Cricetulus griseus: one gene and its partners. The protein of the gene in region 4 purifies or fractionates together with the protein of the main gene of each other region. This does not show direct contact. Links are inferred from orthologs where the notes say so. Each region holds a gene or a part of one and is shown on either strand. Other genes may lie near its edges.

Region 1 (3,715 bases), on a different chromosome or scaffold from region 4:
TGAAGTAGAATTAGTTGTGGACATTCAACAGATCTTTTGCTTCCTGTGTAAAACACAATACCTGTCTCAAAAATGTAACAATGATAAATCCTCCCCCCCCCTCTCAAACTAGAAACCTTGACTCATTAATAACAGCTGTCTTTTGAGTGCATTCTATTTAAGTATTCTTTTTAACGGTTGCTATTGTTTGCTTTGTCTTTTTTGAGGCAGTCAAAATGTAATTGACAGCTGTCAAGTTTATTTTGTCATTTAACCTTTTCTTTGATCCTTCACACAAGGGACTTTATTTTATATAAATTGTCAGTGTGTGTTTCATAGAAATGCAACAATAATACATCTGTGCTACATTTAATCTTGTTCTCACAACTGATGACAAAGGTTACCATCACTGAAATTTGTCGTAATTACTGAATTGCTGTTTTTGTTTGCATCTTAGAGAATGGAGTTGAATTAAAAGGAAAGATATTTATCTTTAAAATTTAATGCTGCCCCTCCCCGCCTTTAGAACAAACACATTTGCCTATGTGACTGCTAGTGTTAATTGACAAGAGTCTAGAATCACCTGGGAGATGGGCCTCTGGACATGCCTGTGGAGAGCATCTTGATTTTTTTTTTTTAAATTGATGTGGGAAGACCTGCCCTCTGTGGGCAACAACATTTCCTGGCTGTTAATGCCAGTTGTGGGTCCTGGATTTTATAAATGGAGAAAGGGAACTGATGCATTCATTACTCTCTTTTTTCAATTATGAATGTGATGTGGCCAGCTTCTTTAAGCTCCTGACATCTTCCCCACCATAATGGATTTTACCCTTGAATTCTGAGCCAGTATAGACCCTTTCCCTTAAGTTGCTTTTGTCAGAGCATTTTTAAAACAAGAACAGGAAAAGAAACTAAGACAGTGTGATGATTGAATGAGACTGTTCCCCATAGGCTGAGATGTTTGAATACTTGGTTCCCAGTTGGCTGCATTGCTTGGCTAGGTTTAGGAAGTGTGCTTGCTAGAGGAAGCATGTCACCGGAAGTGGGTTTTGAGAGTTTAAAGCCCCATTCCATTTTGGTTTTTCTCTCTCTGCTTCCTGCTTACATTTTGAGATGTGAGCTCTCATATGTTCCTGCTGTCTGCAGTCAGAATTCCCTGCCATGATGGATGGAATCTTATCCCTCTGAACTATAAGCCTAAATAAACCCTTCCTTCTGTAAGTTGTCTTGGTCATGGTGTTTTATCACAGCAGTAGAAAAGACCAGCCAATTCCAATTTGTTTTTAATTACTAATCCTTTATGTTTGGTCTTATTTCATTAAAAACAGAAGATTATTATGAAATAATATGATCTGTGTTACACCTTTGTATGCCTCTGTACAGGACAATAATTTGGGCATTGATTTGAATGATTTATCTCTTCGTACTCCACCTCCAGTCCTTCTGGCATACTTTTCTTGTTCATTCCTTCACTGTCCACATAGTTGATAACAAACTCTGGTTCTAGATGCTGAAGATAAAATGGTCATGTGCTCCAGAAAACCTCTGTCTAGAGTGGTCATCAGCCCTGGAGCACCTCAGTCTAGGCAAGGAATCACTGTATGGATAGAAATGACAATGCAGCAGGATAAGTGTGAAAAATAAATAGCCAAGAAAAGGCTGATAGAGATAGATAGTAAAACAGTTCCAATCTTCTGGAACAGACTGGTGAAGCTGGACCTGAAGGTAGGAAACAGTAGAGCAACTGACAGCTTTGACTAGCCAGCTATATTGCATCAGAGTGCTTCATTCATTGGTCATTTTGGGGGGTTGTTCTGCTACCTGAAAGGACTCTCTAGTGCAGCAGTCCACTGGGTGGTCCAATGAACTTTTCACAGGGGTCACCTAAGACCGTCAGAAAACACAGATATTTACATCATGTTTCATGACATTAGCAAAATTACAGTTATGAAGTAGCAAAGAAAATTTATGATTGTGGTTACCACAACATGAGGAACTGTACTAAAGGGTTGAGAACCACTGTTCTAATGGGTTTGTTGAGAAAGGGTATTTATAGCCCTACAGGAAGGTAGAGAGGCAGTGCAGCTACTGTGTGTATTTGGTATGAGGCCAGAGAATCCAGAAGTTTAGGAAATGGAGGATTTAATGAATGGGAAGCTTGCAGGTGTGTGTTCATTCTGACATTCCTGTCAGAGACAGGGCTTCTTCCATAAGTAGTAGTGTGGTCAGAGTCAGTCCTTCCTCTTTGGTTCCCTTTCTGTTGCTTTAAAATGGAAGGTTCTGATTAGATTTCCATTTCCTGTTGTTCTTAGAAGGGGCAGGGTGGAGGGGTAGAAACAGTGATGAAATAAATTGTGAACCCAGGATTAATGAAGGTAAGTAGATTTCTGTCTTTTAGCTTCATGTATTGCAGTGTAAAGGTGGAATTCTTGATGTCTAAGTGGGAATCAAGAGCTTTAGCATCTGATAGAACTGCTAGCTAGCTATATAACAGCAAAGACATAAGAGATAGTCCTCAGGAAAATAGTGATTGTTCCTTGAATTCCAGAGTTAGTATAAGACTAGTACTTGATAATGTGTCTAGGGTTTGAGGTGGGATGTTTGGTTTCAGTGTACTTAAAGTTTTTTCCCTAAGAAGATAGGAATGCTCTTGAGGGCACATTACTACTCTTCCATCCCAAGTCTGTGCTTCTGGAGAATTTGTAAGTGCTTGCTAATGTCACTAAATGGTAGGATAAAGTGAGATGTGGTCCTGCATAGTGTAAACTTGATCCTGTGTCTTTTATAATATGCATATTACTTTTAAAGTTTCTTTATTAATTGGTTAATCTTGACTTGGGATAGTAATGAGTTAAATAAGCTGGCATTTAAGCAAATCATATGAAAAGGCTAAATAAAAATTAGAATTGTAAATTATGGTTTCAGACACTAATATTTTACATTTTACTTTTTTCTCTAAGCAAATGGTTATGAGCCTTAGAGTTTCTGAACTCCAAGTTCTGTTGGGCTACGCTGGGAGGAACAAGCACGGACGCAAACACGAACTTCTTACAAAAGCCCTTCATTTGTTAAAGGCTGGCTGTAGTCCTGCAGTACAAATGAAAATTAAAGAACTCTACAGGCGGCGGTTCCCTCAGAAAATTATGACACCTGCGGACTTGTCTATCCCCAACGTACATTCAAGTCCTATGCCAGCGACTCTGTCTCCATCTACCATTCCACAGCTCACCTATGATGGTCACCCTGCATCATCCCCTCTACTCCCTGTTTCTCTTCTGGGACCTAAACATGAACTGGAACTCCCACATCTCACATCAGCGCTGCACCCAGTCCATCCGGATATAAAGCTACAAAAGCTACCATTCTATGACCTGTTGGATGAGCTGATCAAACCCACCAGTCTAGGTAAGATAGGAGGCAATTTGGTTACTACTTCGGTTATCATTCCTTTTTTAGACGTTCAGTCTGACCCAGTCTTATTCTTAATGAAGTTCGTGTTTGGTAGTATCATCAGGATGTGCTGAGTTTAGACTAAATCAAATATATAAATGTTGTCCTTTAGGCAAAAGTGGCCAGCAGTTTCAGATACAATAAATACTAAGTTTGAAACCAGGTTTCACCATATAAACCCTGGCTGTCCTGTATCTTGCTATGTAGACCAGGCTGGCCTTGAACTCAGAGATCCTCCTGCCTCTGCCTCCAGAGCCATTGGATTAAAGCTATATTCCACTGTGCC
Region 2 (3,715 bases), on a different chromosome or scaffold from region 4:
ATGCTGCTACTTATCACTGTCAAACTCAACCACACCTACAAAACCAGCTGAGCCTTTGACCAGTCCCAGGCAGAACTGGGCTGTCACAATGTGACACAGAGAACAAGGACATAGATTCTCAAGCTCCACGCTCTCAAAGATAGTTTCACAATATCCTCAACTTTATAACCCTCACCAATCCTGGCACTCCAGCTAAGGCGATCACAAGACCCAGGGCAAAGGACTACCAATGGTCTTCCCAGGAAACAATACAGAAATGGTTCCCAGGATGTCTTAGGCTCCTAGAACTGGGAACCTTCTTCTCAGTCTACCCAAGAGTTCCCAGTGAATGTCCTTGAGTGCCTGTTTAGTCCCCATTAAAGGGACCCTGGTCAACCCACCCTCTAAACCAGGTCCAGTCACCACATGCTGGAACCTTCAGCCTTACAGCAAGGGCTCCCTGGCCCAGCCAGAGCTGGCCACTGGCCAGCTCTAGAGGAGGTGACTCAAAGCTAGCACTGCCCAGCACCCCAGGACAAAACCTGCTGGCCTGCCTAGCCATCTCACTCAACCCAAATGGCCGAGACACTTACGTGCCACTGAGAAGTTGTTGAGGGGGGACTCTCGATGCTCCACGTCCTGAGGCCGTTCCTTGTAGCCAATAAAGGTGCCGTCATTCTTGAGGAGGAAGTAGCGTGGCCGCCAGGTTTTAATGTATTCCCCTGCGGGGGGGGGGGGGCATAAGGAGCTGCATGTGAACAACACTGCAGTGGCCCTGACACCTGAGAGGACCTAGGCACATAGAGGTAGGGAAGGGATCTGGGCCACTTCCTTCCCAGAAGGCACTGGCACTGGGGCAGAGCTCCAGTGCATGTTGCTGGGAGCATCTTCCAGGGCTCTGCCTGTGCAGCAGAGTCAAGAGGTGCCATGGCTGGAACGAGTGTGCGCGTGTGTGTGTGTGCGCGCGTGCGCACGTGTGTGTCCTAGCTGAGACCTGTGCTGTGTCCAGCTGAGTCCTGCCCTGGTCACCCAGGTACACAGGAACATTGTTCCCTCCTCCAGTTTTGCAGCATCAGCCAGAAGCAGGCACCACACTCAGACATCAGAGCAGATGTCCTCTGTGATCTCCCAGCGACTGTCATTTTTCATACTGACACCCGGAAAAAATGTTTCATTTACATTTTGCCGAGCAAGGAGTCTGAACAACAGGGAGCTAACTAATTAGGCAACTTCTTCATCTGAGGGGACACTAGACTGAGGACAGGAGGGGCAGCCCACAGGGCTGGGGTCCCTGAGCTCTATCTGAGATGAACTTTGCTTGTCCCACTGAGTCCTGAGCAAGAGCACCTAGAGGGGTATGCAGGGAGCAACTGTTTGGACCAGGCCACCTGCCACCAGGTGCTCCAGGATGCAGACCAAGTCACAAGGACAAACACCCTGGTCTCAGGCACCAGGCAGTGCACCTAACGCATTTTCCACAGCCCCAGGGAGGCTAGCTAGCTTTCCTTCTCTACCCTCTCATGGTATGTACTAAATCCAGGTGTTCTCTGAGAACACGTGCAGGTGAGATACAGTCTACCCAGTATAGTTCACCAGCTCAGACTCTCAGGGCCTTCCAGGGTACACGAAGTAGGGGCTCTGGGCAGTATATTGCCAGACTCCTCACATGACCTACCTCCCCCGACTCCACCGTCTAGTCCCTTTCAATTGACACCCTGGAGGCATTTCCGACACCAGCCTTGCTCTGCATGACCCTACACAGCCCTGCATGAATCAGGATAAGAGAAAGCCTAAGTGACGGACAAAGGCTCTTGGTGAGAGAAGAAGTGATAGAGCCACTACCAGGCCAACACCCCACACACACTCCAGGGAGCTGGTAGCTATTAGAGCTAGGGATCCTGTCCCCTCGTCACTGCAGATCTCCTAAGCCTGCCATCAGCACTGACAAAGACCCCAGCCTCACAATGGAGAGGGGCAGCAAAGAGAGCAAGCTCGAGCTCCTCCCGACTCCATTGCATGTGCCCAAATGTGCCTGGTGGTCCTCCAGGGCCTAGGCTAGATTATTCTGCTTCTCTCCAAAGGCCTACAGTCCGTAAGTAGCTGGAACTAGGACACCTGGAAACCCATTCCTGCCTCCCATCTTTAGTTCCCAGAAGCTCAGCTCCCCAGCCGGCCACTTCCCACAGCCACTGGGGGCTTCAAAGCAATGACCAATGCCAACCCTCCCTCACTCAGGAGGGCCTAAGGCTCAGCAACCTGCCTACACAACAAAAACACAGAACAGGGTTCCCATCCAGGTTTTCGAAGACCCCTGAACCCCTGCAGGCACCAGCCTGGCTTCTGACCAGGTGGCACACACCTGCAGTATTCACATGGCCAGTGGCCCCATGACAGCCCCTCCCCTGGCATAGGGCCTCGAAGGCTCAGTGGGCAGGCAGGGGCCCTGGGTAATATAGCAGAGCCAATGGGGGGTGAGCAGCCCCCCCACCCCGTTCCTCCCTAGGCCCCCGCTGTGCACGCCCACCCGCCAGCACCAGTCTGGAGCTGTCGGCCCCTGATGGAGTGCCTCCATCTCACCAGCTGCTGCTCCCCGGGACACTAACTGAGTACGGAGGCTGATGAGCAACACACTCGCACCCCAGAAATCCATCTTGATTTACCAACTGCTGCCCACCCCACTGTGCCCAGTGCAGGCCCCCAGACAAGACCACCACCCTATCTACAACTGGCTCTTAGCCTGCATGACCAGCCCCTAGGCCAGGCAGATTCCAGAATGTGGACCTGGAGGTACAGGCAGGGACACTCACCAGGCAGAGAAAGCCAAGTACCCAGAAGGGCCTAGGTGCCCTTCCCCTCCCTGGCCTCACAGAGGCCTCCTGGCCAAGGAGAAATGTAAAGTGAAGTGACCTCATCAGGTCTTTCCCGGTGGCGGCCTCTTCCAGAGGAAAGGGAGCCACAGTTCTGACACACAGATCTCTTTCTTCATCTCCGGCCTCAAGGTCTAGCCAAATGGTCACTGGGGGTACCAGCTAAGCCAGCTGCAGCCTAGGATGTGGCCTGCATGTTAATGAGTTCAGTCCAGACAGACCCCAAGCCCCACCCCTCCAAAAGAACTGTGCCAACACATGACAGACAAATACAAGAGGTGGCTACACTGGTCCTTCATGGCCACGTGGTATCTAGGAATACCCCTGCCCCCTTCTGGGGCCTCCCTCCAGCTTTTCACACTCCAACAAGGAGGGACTGATACTGAGCCCCTGCAGAAGTGCTAGGCTCTGGCCCATCCAGGCTCTTCTCTACTCCCTCACCCCATCTGGATGCCTGGTACCCTGAAAACAGGTAAGGCGGAGTCCAGCTGGTGAAGCGCAGCAGCAGCTGGGGCCTTCCACCTGTCCACACAGCCTCTGGGAACACAAGTACTCACGGCCCACTAGAGGTGCTGTGCTCCACCTGGAGTTTCCTCACCAGGCCCGTGTTCACACAGACATGAACAGATGACAAATAACCAGGTGCCACCTCCACAGTGTGGTCCCCATGGTTCTTGAGGCCAGATGCCTGACAACAGCTTCTCGTTGAACAACAAAACCAGCCAACAGCAGACACCCAGGGCTAAGCCCTGCATTACAGTAGGCCTAGCTCCCCACTAAGCACATATGCAAATCCATCCAGGGGGGTCTCACACCTGCTATGTAGAGATGGCAGCCAATACCCACCCCACCCAAGGGCCTAGCCCACC
Region 3 (3,715 bases), about 240 Mb from region 4:
CAATTAACAACTTACCCCTTGCATTCTGGGTTAAAGTCTCTGAATGTCAGGTAAGCACATGACAGAAGGGCTTCCCCTTGGATTCTTCCAAAACTGTCCTGCTCTGCCATTTCTCCCTGCCGCTCTCTTCTCTGTGTCTGACTTTGTTATCTTTCTCTGCCTTTATATGTTTTTCGATTTCTTTCTCTCCATCCTGTTTTCTCTTAGGTTCAGGCTGCCAACTCAAAACAAGTAGCAGCAACGGTCTCACCCTCAGGGTGGCTTTGGGATGCTTGGAAGCACAGCCATGATCCTCTGGATGCTATTGGGCAAATAGAAGGTGCTAACACAGCCATGATCCTCTGGATGCTATTAGGCAAATAGAAGGTGTTAACAGCTGTGGTCCTCTGGATGCTACTGAGCACATAGAAGGTGTTAACACAGCCATGGTCCTCTGGATGCTACTTGGCATATAGAAGGTGTGGTAACCAGTCTCCATCTTCCCCAGAAAAAAAACAAAAAAAAAATGCAAAATAAATGAGAAGTTAGCACAAACATGGTTTCATTGTCTTGTCCCCAGTCTTCTTATTAATTAAGAATTAGATGTGAAGGGCCCAGCAAGGTGGATCAGCTAATAAAGGTACTTTCTGCCAGCCAAGCCTGAAAACCTGAGTTTAAAGCCTAGTAAATAAAGAGAAAGGACTTCTGCAAAATTGTCCTCTGACTTTTATACATACATCTTGGCTTGTGTGCCCCCCATAAATAAATAAATAAATGTTTAAAAATAAACTTTGGGAATTGAGATGCCAGAACTTTACATGAACATTCTGAGTCTTTATGAGTCTATTGAGAAGTAACTATTCTAGATAGCTCAGTGTAACCATTAGAAAATTGACTGTTCCATACATGTACTGGATAGTCCCCAGATTTTATTTCATAAAGATCAAGCTTAATTTACTTGTAACCTTCATGCAGTAAATTCTGTTGGCCCCACCTCTTTTGCAGATAGCTGATCTTGGTGTGGCTTCCTTTAAGACATGGAGTATACTGACTAAAGAGAAACACAACAAGCAGAAGGAAGTGAACAGCATCTCTAAGAATGGAGGCACCCTCTACTACATGGCGCCTGAACACCTGAGTGACATCAATGCAAAGCCCACAGAGAAGTCAGATGTGTACAGTTTTGGCATTGTACTTTGGGCAATATTTGCAAATAAGGAGCCCTACGAGAGTAAGACAATTTTAGATGTGGGATTTTGATAGAAATCAAAATGTTACATGAGGGTTGGTGAGATGGCTCAGCATGTAAAAGCATTTACCACCAACCCTGACAACCTGAATTCAATCCAAACTCCAGGACTTACATGGAGAAGGAGAGAAGTGACTTCCAAAAATTTGTCTTCTGTCTTCCATATATGCACTGTGGCACCCAGATATATCTCCTCTCTCTTTCTTCCCCTCTCTCCTCCTCTCCCTGACTTCCTGCCTCGCCCCCCCCACACACACACACTAATTTTTTAAATGTAATAATTTTTTAAAACTTTTACATAAAATAGTGGCCTTCAGTGAATTCTGTTAAAAATCCATGATTATTTCTTAAAGGCTGGCTCTGCATCTGATTTATTCACTGCTAGTATCTTTAGCACGCACGCGCGCACACACACACACACACACACACACACACTCACACACACACACACGCACGCACGCACGCACGCGCACACACACACACACACACACACACACACACACACACACACACACACACACACACACACAATGCCTGGATGTAATCAGGAGACTCTTGTTTAATTAGTCATCCCAGTTTAGGATAAACTCATCAGGTGGATTGACCCTTTTATCTTTACAGCTTGGGAGTTGCTGTAAAACTCCAGGATTGCTCCTGGAGTAGGGATGGCCTTTCATACTACTAGGCATGTATCCCGTACTTGATTCTATTTGTGAATGAACCTTTTTCGTTACCTACTGTGAACACTCCAGTCAGTTGAGAATATAAAGGTGAATAAGTCTTTGTGAAGAGGCACAGTCATCCTTGGGTTTGGTTAAGCATGGAAAGGAGTGGCTCCTTTCTATAAACAAAGATTATCAACACCAGTAGATTAGGGATCATCAGCTCTGCTGATGCCTCTTAAATCTTAGTCTCTGACCATGACCAAGACATCCACTAGCCTATTAGACCCAACACATATACCTCAGGAACCTCCAAAGCGGCACCCCAACAAGCTCCCAAGTTTACCACCACTCTTCCATAGCTCCCTGTGCTCACCACCCGTACTGAGTTGCACAATAAGCAGCTTCACCTGAGACTCAACATTGTCTCCCTCTCCCACATCCAATAAAACCTCAAAACCTGAATTCAGCAACTAGGGATAGAACTCGGTGTTACAGCACTTGTCTAGCATCTTGTAGAGGCCTGGTTCAAGCCCTAGCACTGCCTGAAAAACAAACAAACATGAATTCTGTGAACATCTCTCCACTAGCTTCCTTATTTCTGCTGCAGGATCCTTGAGCCTTCCACAATCAGAAAGCAGCCAAGATAGTCATCTTAAAAGGCAGACGGGACAGGGTGAAGAGCTGGTTCTATGGTTAAGAGGCTGTTCACAGCTGTCTGTAATTCCAGTCCCAGGGTATCTGACATCCTTTTCTGGCTCTATGGGCATTGGATACATGTGATGCACAGACATAGTGCAGGCAAAACACCCATACACATAAAATAAAAATCAAGGAAATAAAAAGTTTTTAAGGCAGAGAGGATCATCTTGGCTATTTAAAATCCTTGAAAGACTCCCATAGCCTTCAAGTTTCCCAGTGTAAAGTATGAGGCCATTTCTGGTTCCACCCTGGCTTCTCTCCACCCTCCTCTCTGTCTTTGCCTCACGTCAGTGTGCCCACTTACACTGGGCACAGGTCACTGGTGCATATGATTTCTGTCATTCCCACCCTATCAGTTTCCTGCTGCCCTAGCTTGGAGTCTCCCTCAGGAGTCCTCCTTCCTGGTCCTTTACCTTGATAACACCTCCTTTTCTGACTCAGGAAAATCTTCTCAGACATTCTGTTCTCCACCATATTTGCTACTTGAGTGTCAGTTGTCAGTGTGTATTTTAAGTCACTCTCATTAAATTGAGCTTCTTAAAGCCCAGACCATCCTGGTTTTGCCTCTGTATTGAACTCTGGGGAATGCCCTGACTTTACCCATGGATTTTGTTTGTTGTGAAAAAGTAGCTTGGTTTTGAATTTTGTCTCTCATCTGCAAAAGTCAAAACCTCATTCTGTCATCTCTACAATAGACTCTGATAACTCCTTGTCACAGGCTATTGCTCTATGGAGTGAGATGAGACAGCCATGGGAAAAGCATATACTAGGTAGAGACAAAATAGCGGTAGGTATTGTTCATGTCCTGTCATCTTCCTTCCTGAGAGTAGAGTAGGACCGAGAACCCCAACTGAAGCTTATCCCTCTTTGCAGACGCCATCTGTGCTGAGCAGCTCTTGATTTGCATAAACTCTGGGAACAGGCCAAATGTGGAGGACATCATTGAGCACTGCCCAAGAGAGATCATCAGCCTCATGGAGCGGTGTTGGCAAGCAGCCCCAGAGGACCGGCCAACATTCCCTGGTAAGAGCAGGTTGTGTGCCTTTCAGGATGCATCCCATATGGTGACACTTCAGTAAAGTGAGACTGGTAGTTTAGTTACTTTTCCTATAGCTGTGACAAA
Region 4 (3,715 bases):
ATCATTATAAAATATTGCTATTCCCCATGTCCATTATCTCTTACATTTCCATTCCACCCATCCTATTTATGTGCTTTCGGTCTCTGTAGATTTGCATGCATGTCTATGTATGGCTATGTGTTTGTATGAGTGCAGATGTTTATGAGGGTGTACATGTACATATGTGCCCATGGAAGCCAAAGGTCAACCTCAGTCGCCATTCCTCAATGACAGTCATCTCCTTTGTTTTGAGAAAGGCTCTCTCATTGGCCTGAAACTTATTGATTAGGCTAAGCTGCTGGAATCACAAAACCCAACTCTTATTAAATGTGGGTTATGGTGCTTATACTCGGGTCTCCATGCTTGTATAACAGGTGTTTTACTGATGAAATATTTCCCCAACACTAGCATTACGTTTTTGAATGTTATCAGTGTTATAGGGTGTTTCATTCCTGTTGGACCTTTTGAGAAAGAGTCTTGCTGTGTAGCCCAAGCTGACTCTCACCCTACCCTGTTTTGGAATTACTCTAGTACCTAGTCTTTTTCTTTTGTTTACTACTGAGTGTTTCATTCACCAGTATGACCTTTTGTATTTGTTCTTTTGGCTTTTAAGTACTGAGATTAGAAACTTACTTTGTTTTTCCTAGTTTTTTAAGTTAGCAGACAAAATGGTGGGTTTTGTTATGGCATTTTTATGCATGTATATTCACCATAGTTTTTCTTATTTCTACCTCTTCCATTTTGCCCTTCTTTGTTGGTCTTTCTCTCCCCAAACAGTCTTCCCTTTTGCTTCCTTGCTAACCAACCCCATTACCCTCTTCCCACACCTGCTCTGTTTGTTCCTTTGGGTCTGCTGATCACTTTTTACTTTGACTCCATATATCTTTTTACTAACCCTTTGCCCCACATCTATAAATTAGATGTGAATGCACAGTGACTTTGTTCAGTACATTTCAAAGAAGGAAATCTGGCACTTAAGTATTTGTAAAATCTAGAGTTTTCAAGAATCTTTGCATTTTAATTGTTTCTTTTTTTCAGAGAGGCTGTGATAGCTACATGGTTTATTTGTTTGATAAAAGTAAGACTGTGTATGAAGGACCATTTGCATCCAGAAGTTTGTCTGATTGTGTAAATTATATTGGTAAGTAGAGTCCAGTTAGTGGCTGAACTTTAATCTTGAAATTACATGATTAGTAAATATGATCTTTTTAGTGGTTTTGTTCAGTATCTCCTATTTGAGATTTCTATATGTGGCGAAAATGGATTTAATGTAGTTTGGAAGGTGTAAAGGTAGATTTTAAATTACCACTAGACTCTTCTCTTGGGAGGAGATTTCCCTTCCTGAGGATAGGGCTCCATAGATAGAAGAATGAAAGCCCACTGTGCACTGTGCCTGCTTTTTTTAATTGTTCCTTCGTTAGGTGTGTTCAGATATTTACACACAGCTTTGCCTGTAAATTTCATAAATCTGAGCTGGTGTTTAGAAACAGAAAAGACTGGTGGACTGTGGAGGAGAAGGAACTTGAACCAAAGCTTTTAGAAGTAAAGAATTTGGATTAGCAGAAAGAAAATGAATATTCTTGACTTCTTGACTGGAGAGAAGCAAATTTAAAAGAAAAACATACAGAAATAATGAAGTAGTTATGTTATTCAGACACACAACTCTCATATCTAGAGCCAGGCAGTAGATTCTTTTTAACATCTATGGGAATAGTTTTTGGAAAAGACGTCACAAAGAATGAACTATAGTGTCTGAAAGTGGCTTACCTCCCTTATTACCATTTTACTTATAGTTCAAGACAGCAAGATACAGCTTCCAATTGTACAGCTGCGTAAAGTATGGGCTGAAGCAGTGCACTATGTATCTGGACTAAAAGAAGATTACAGCAGGCTCTTTCAGGGACAAAGAGCGGCAATGTAAGTGGGTTCTGGTTGTTTTTTTAGCATAACACCACTTGTATCATGTACTCAAGAATTATTCTTGCCAGTTTTCCCTGAGAATTGTGTAGAAGGCTAAAATATTGAACATATTTTGAAGTGTACTGTTTTTAATAATGTGTTTATGAGCATGTGAATGGATGCACACGTGGAAGCCAGGGTTGATGTTGGCTATATTTCCCTTATTGTTTTCTCACCTAAGTTTGGAGGCAAGATCTCTTACTAACCCTGGAGCTTACTGTTTCAGCTAGACTGAATGGCCCATGGGCTCCTCTGTTTGCCTGTTTCCCCATGCCTCCAAGCACTCACTTGCCATGCACTAAGCTGAGGTCCTCGTGCATGCAAAGCAAGCACTTTGCCCACTGGGCCATCACTCTGACTCCATTGAGATGCAGTGTTCTGACCAGACTTAAGATTTCTTATTAATGGTCTGAAATCATTCAGCTGTAATGTCTTGAAAATTCTAGTTCCTGAGTGGCCTTAGCTGAAGAAGGTTGTTTATCACAGACCTCACAGTCTGGAAATAGGTCAGCTGTTTCTCAGGATTTGATAATAGAAACTTAGGTTTTGGAGTTTGGATACTGTATGTTTGCAAATTGTTATTCAATGTTTCTGAATGTTGATAATTTTGTTTTGTTTTGCTATGGCTTAGGTTAAGTCTTCTTAGATATAATGCTAACTTGACAAAAATGAAGAATACTTTGATCTCAGCATCACAGCAACTCAAAGCTAAATTGGAGTTTTTTCACAAAAGCATTCAGCTTGACTTGGAGAGATATAGTGAGCAGATGACTTACGGGATATGTAAGTGTCTGGCTATAATGTATTTGTAAGGAATGTCTAGTCTTTTGAAACCATCTGCTCTCTTATCTTGTTGACACATAGCCAGTAATTTAAATTCACAGCAGACCAACATACAGAAAAACTTGTCAAATGTTTTTGTTTTGAGGGTTAGCTCTTTTAATCCCTTAGTTAAGCAACTTATTTCATAATTATTGTAAAAGTATGTAACTCTAGAAAAGCTAAATAATACAGAAGTGACCTTAAGACTGAATTTCAAGTCTTATTTTAAAATGTATAGAGTCTATATTGAGGTGACTTCCTAGCCAATACTGTGTACTGAAATGTGTGCTTCCCCTAGTTGGTATGCTGAAATCCTGATCCTTTTGATAATGGTAAGACCCTTGGGAAAGGATTAAGTCATGATGGGACCTTACTAGAGGCCTGAGTCACATTCCCTCACCCTTTCTGTCATAAGGGGACACAGAAGGCAGTGTGAACCACTGCCTATGAACCAGAACTTGATCTTGGCTTTCTCAGATTTCAAAATTTGCCACCTAGGGTATTTTTGTTTTGTTTTGTTTTGTTTTGCTTTGTTTTCTGATTTTGTTCTTGTAGTGTAGCAGCTCAAGTGGAATAACACAGCCAGGGGAGTCTTAAATTATTTGTTTTGTTTGTTTTTTTGTTTTCCCTTAATCCATCTGCTGTGGAGTTCTACCTACTGTTTTCTTATTATACACAGTGTCCTGACTCCAACCTTATCCCCTTTTGGATGTGTTAAGGATTTGTAAAGAGTTAAAATCCAAATAAACGGAATTGTTTACTTCATGACACATATCTTTTAGAAGAAGTAGATACTGTTTATTATGTACTTGACAAAAGTTTGGATATCTCAGAATAAGTGACCAGAAGTGTCCAGTTAGTGAATATATTTATTCTCTAGTGTTATTTCTGTGTTTACATATTATAGGCATAATTATTTCATTAGAGCATCTTTGACTTGTCAGAGGCATACTGT

Evidence for each region. Proteins that work in one complex are often made in the same cells at the same time.
Region 1: the proteins of Chuk (region 4) and Pias1 purify together in Homo sapiens (affinity purification with western blotting; 3 studies listed by BioGRID). This does not show direct contact. The link is inferred for Cricetulus griseus from reciprocal best matches to the Homo sapiens genes CHUK and PIAS1.
Region 2: the proteins of Chuk (region 4) and Akt1 purify together in Homo sapiens (affinity purification with western blotting; 5 studies listed by BioGRID). This does not show direct contact. The link is inferred for Cricetulus griseus from reciprocal best matches to the Homo sapiens genes CHUK and AKT1.
Region 3: the proteins of Chuk (region 4) and Ripk1 purify together in Homo sapiens (affinity purification with western blotting; 3 studies listed by BioGRID, with this or other methods). This does not show direct contact. The link is inferred for Cricetulus griseus from reciprocal best matches to the Homo sapiens genes CHUK and RIPK1.

The regions. Positions count from the first base shown.
Region 1 is NC_048597.1:174,449,162-174,452,876, reverse strand, and holds part of Pias1 (E3 SUMO-protein ligase PIAS1), read left to right. Parts: intron 1-2,939; coding exon 2,940-3,384; intron 3,385-3,715. UniProt on the Homo sapiens protein: Functions as an E3-type small ubiquitin-like modifier (SUMO) ligase, stabilizing the interaction between UBE2I and the substrate, and as a SUMO-tethering factor. Catalyzes sumoylation of various proteins, such as CEBPB, MRE11, MTA1, PTK2 and PML.
Region 2 is NC_048598.1:181,392,157-181,395,871, reverse strand, and holds part of Akt1 (RAC-alpha serine/threonine-protein kinase), read right to left. Parts: intron 702-3,715; coding exon 573-701; intron 1-572. UniProt on the Homo sapiens protein: AKT1 is one of 3 closely related serine/threonine-protein kinases (AKT1, AKT2 and AKT3) called the AKT kinase, and which regulate many processes including metabolism, proliferation, cell survival, growth and angiogenesis.
Region 3 is NC_048596.1:253,857,473-253,861,187, forward strand, and holds part of Ripk1 (receptor-interacting serine/threonine-protein kinase 1), read left to right. Parts: intron 1-984; coding exon 985-1,210; intron 1,211-3,465; coding exon 3,466-3,615; intron 3,616-3,715. UniProt on the Homo sapiens protein: Serine-threonine kinase which is a key regulator of TNF-mediated apoptosis, necroptosis and inflammatory pathways.
Region 4 is NC_048596.1:17,462,075-17,465,789, forward strand, and holds part of Chuk (inhibitor of nuclear factor kappa-B kinase subunit alpha), read left to right. Parts: intron 1-1,017; coding exon 1,018-1,120; intron 1,121-1,772; coding exon 1,773-1,896; intron 1,897-2,569; coding exon 2,570-2,721; intron 2,722-3,715.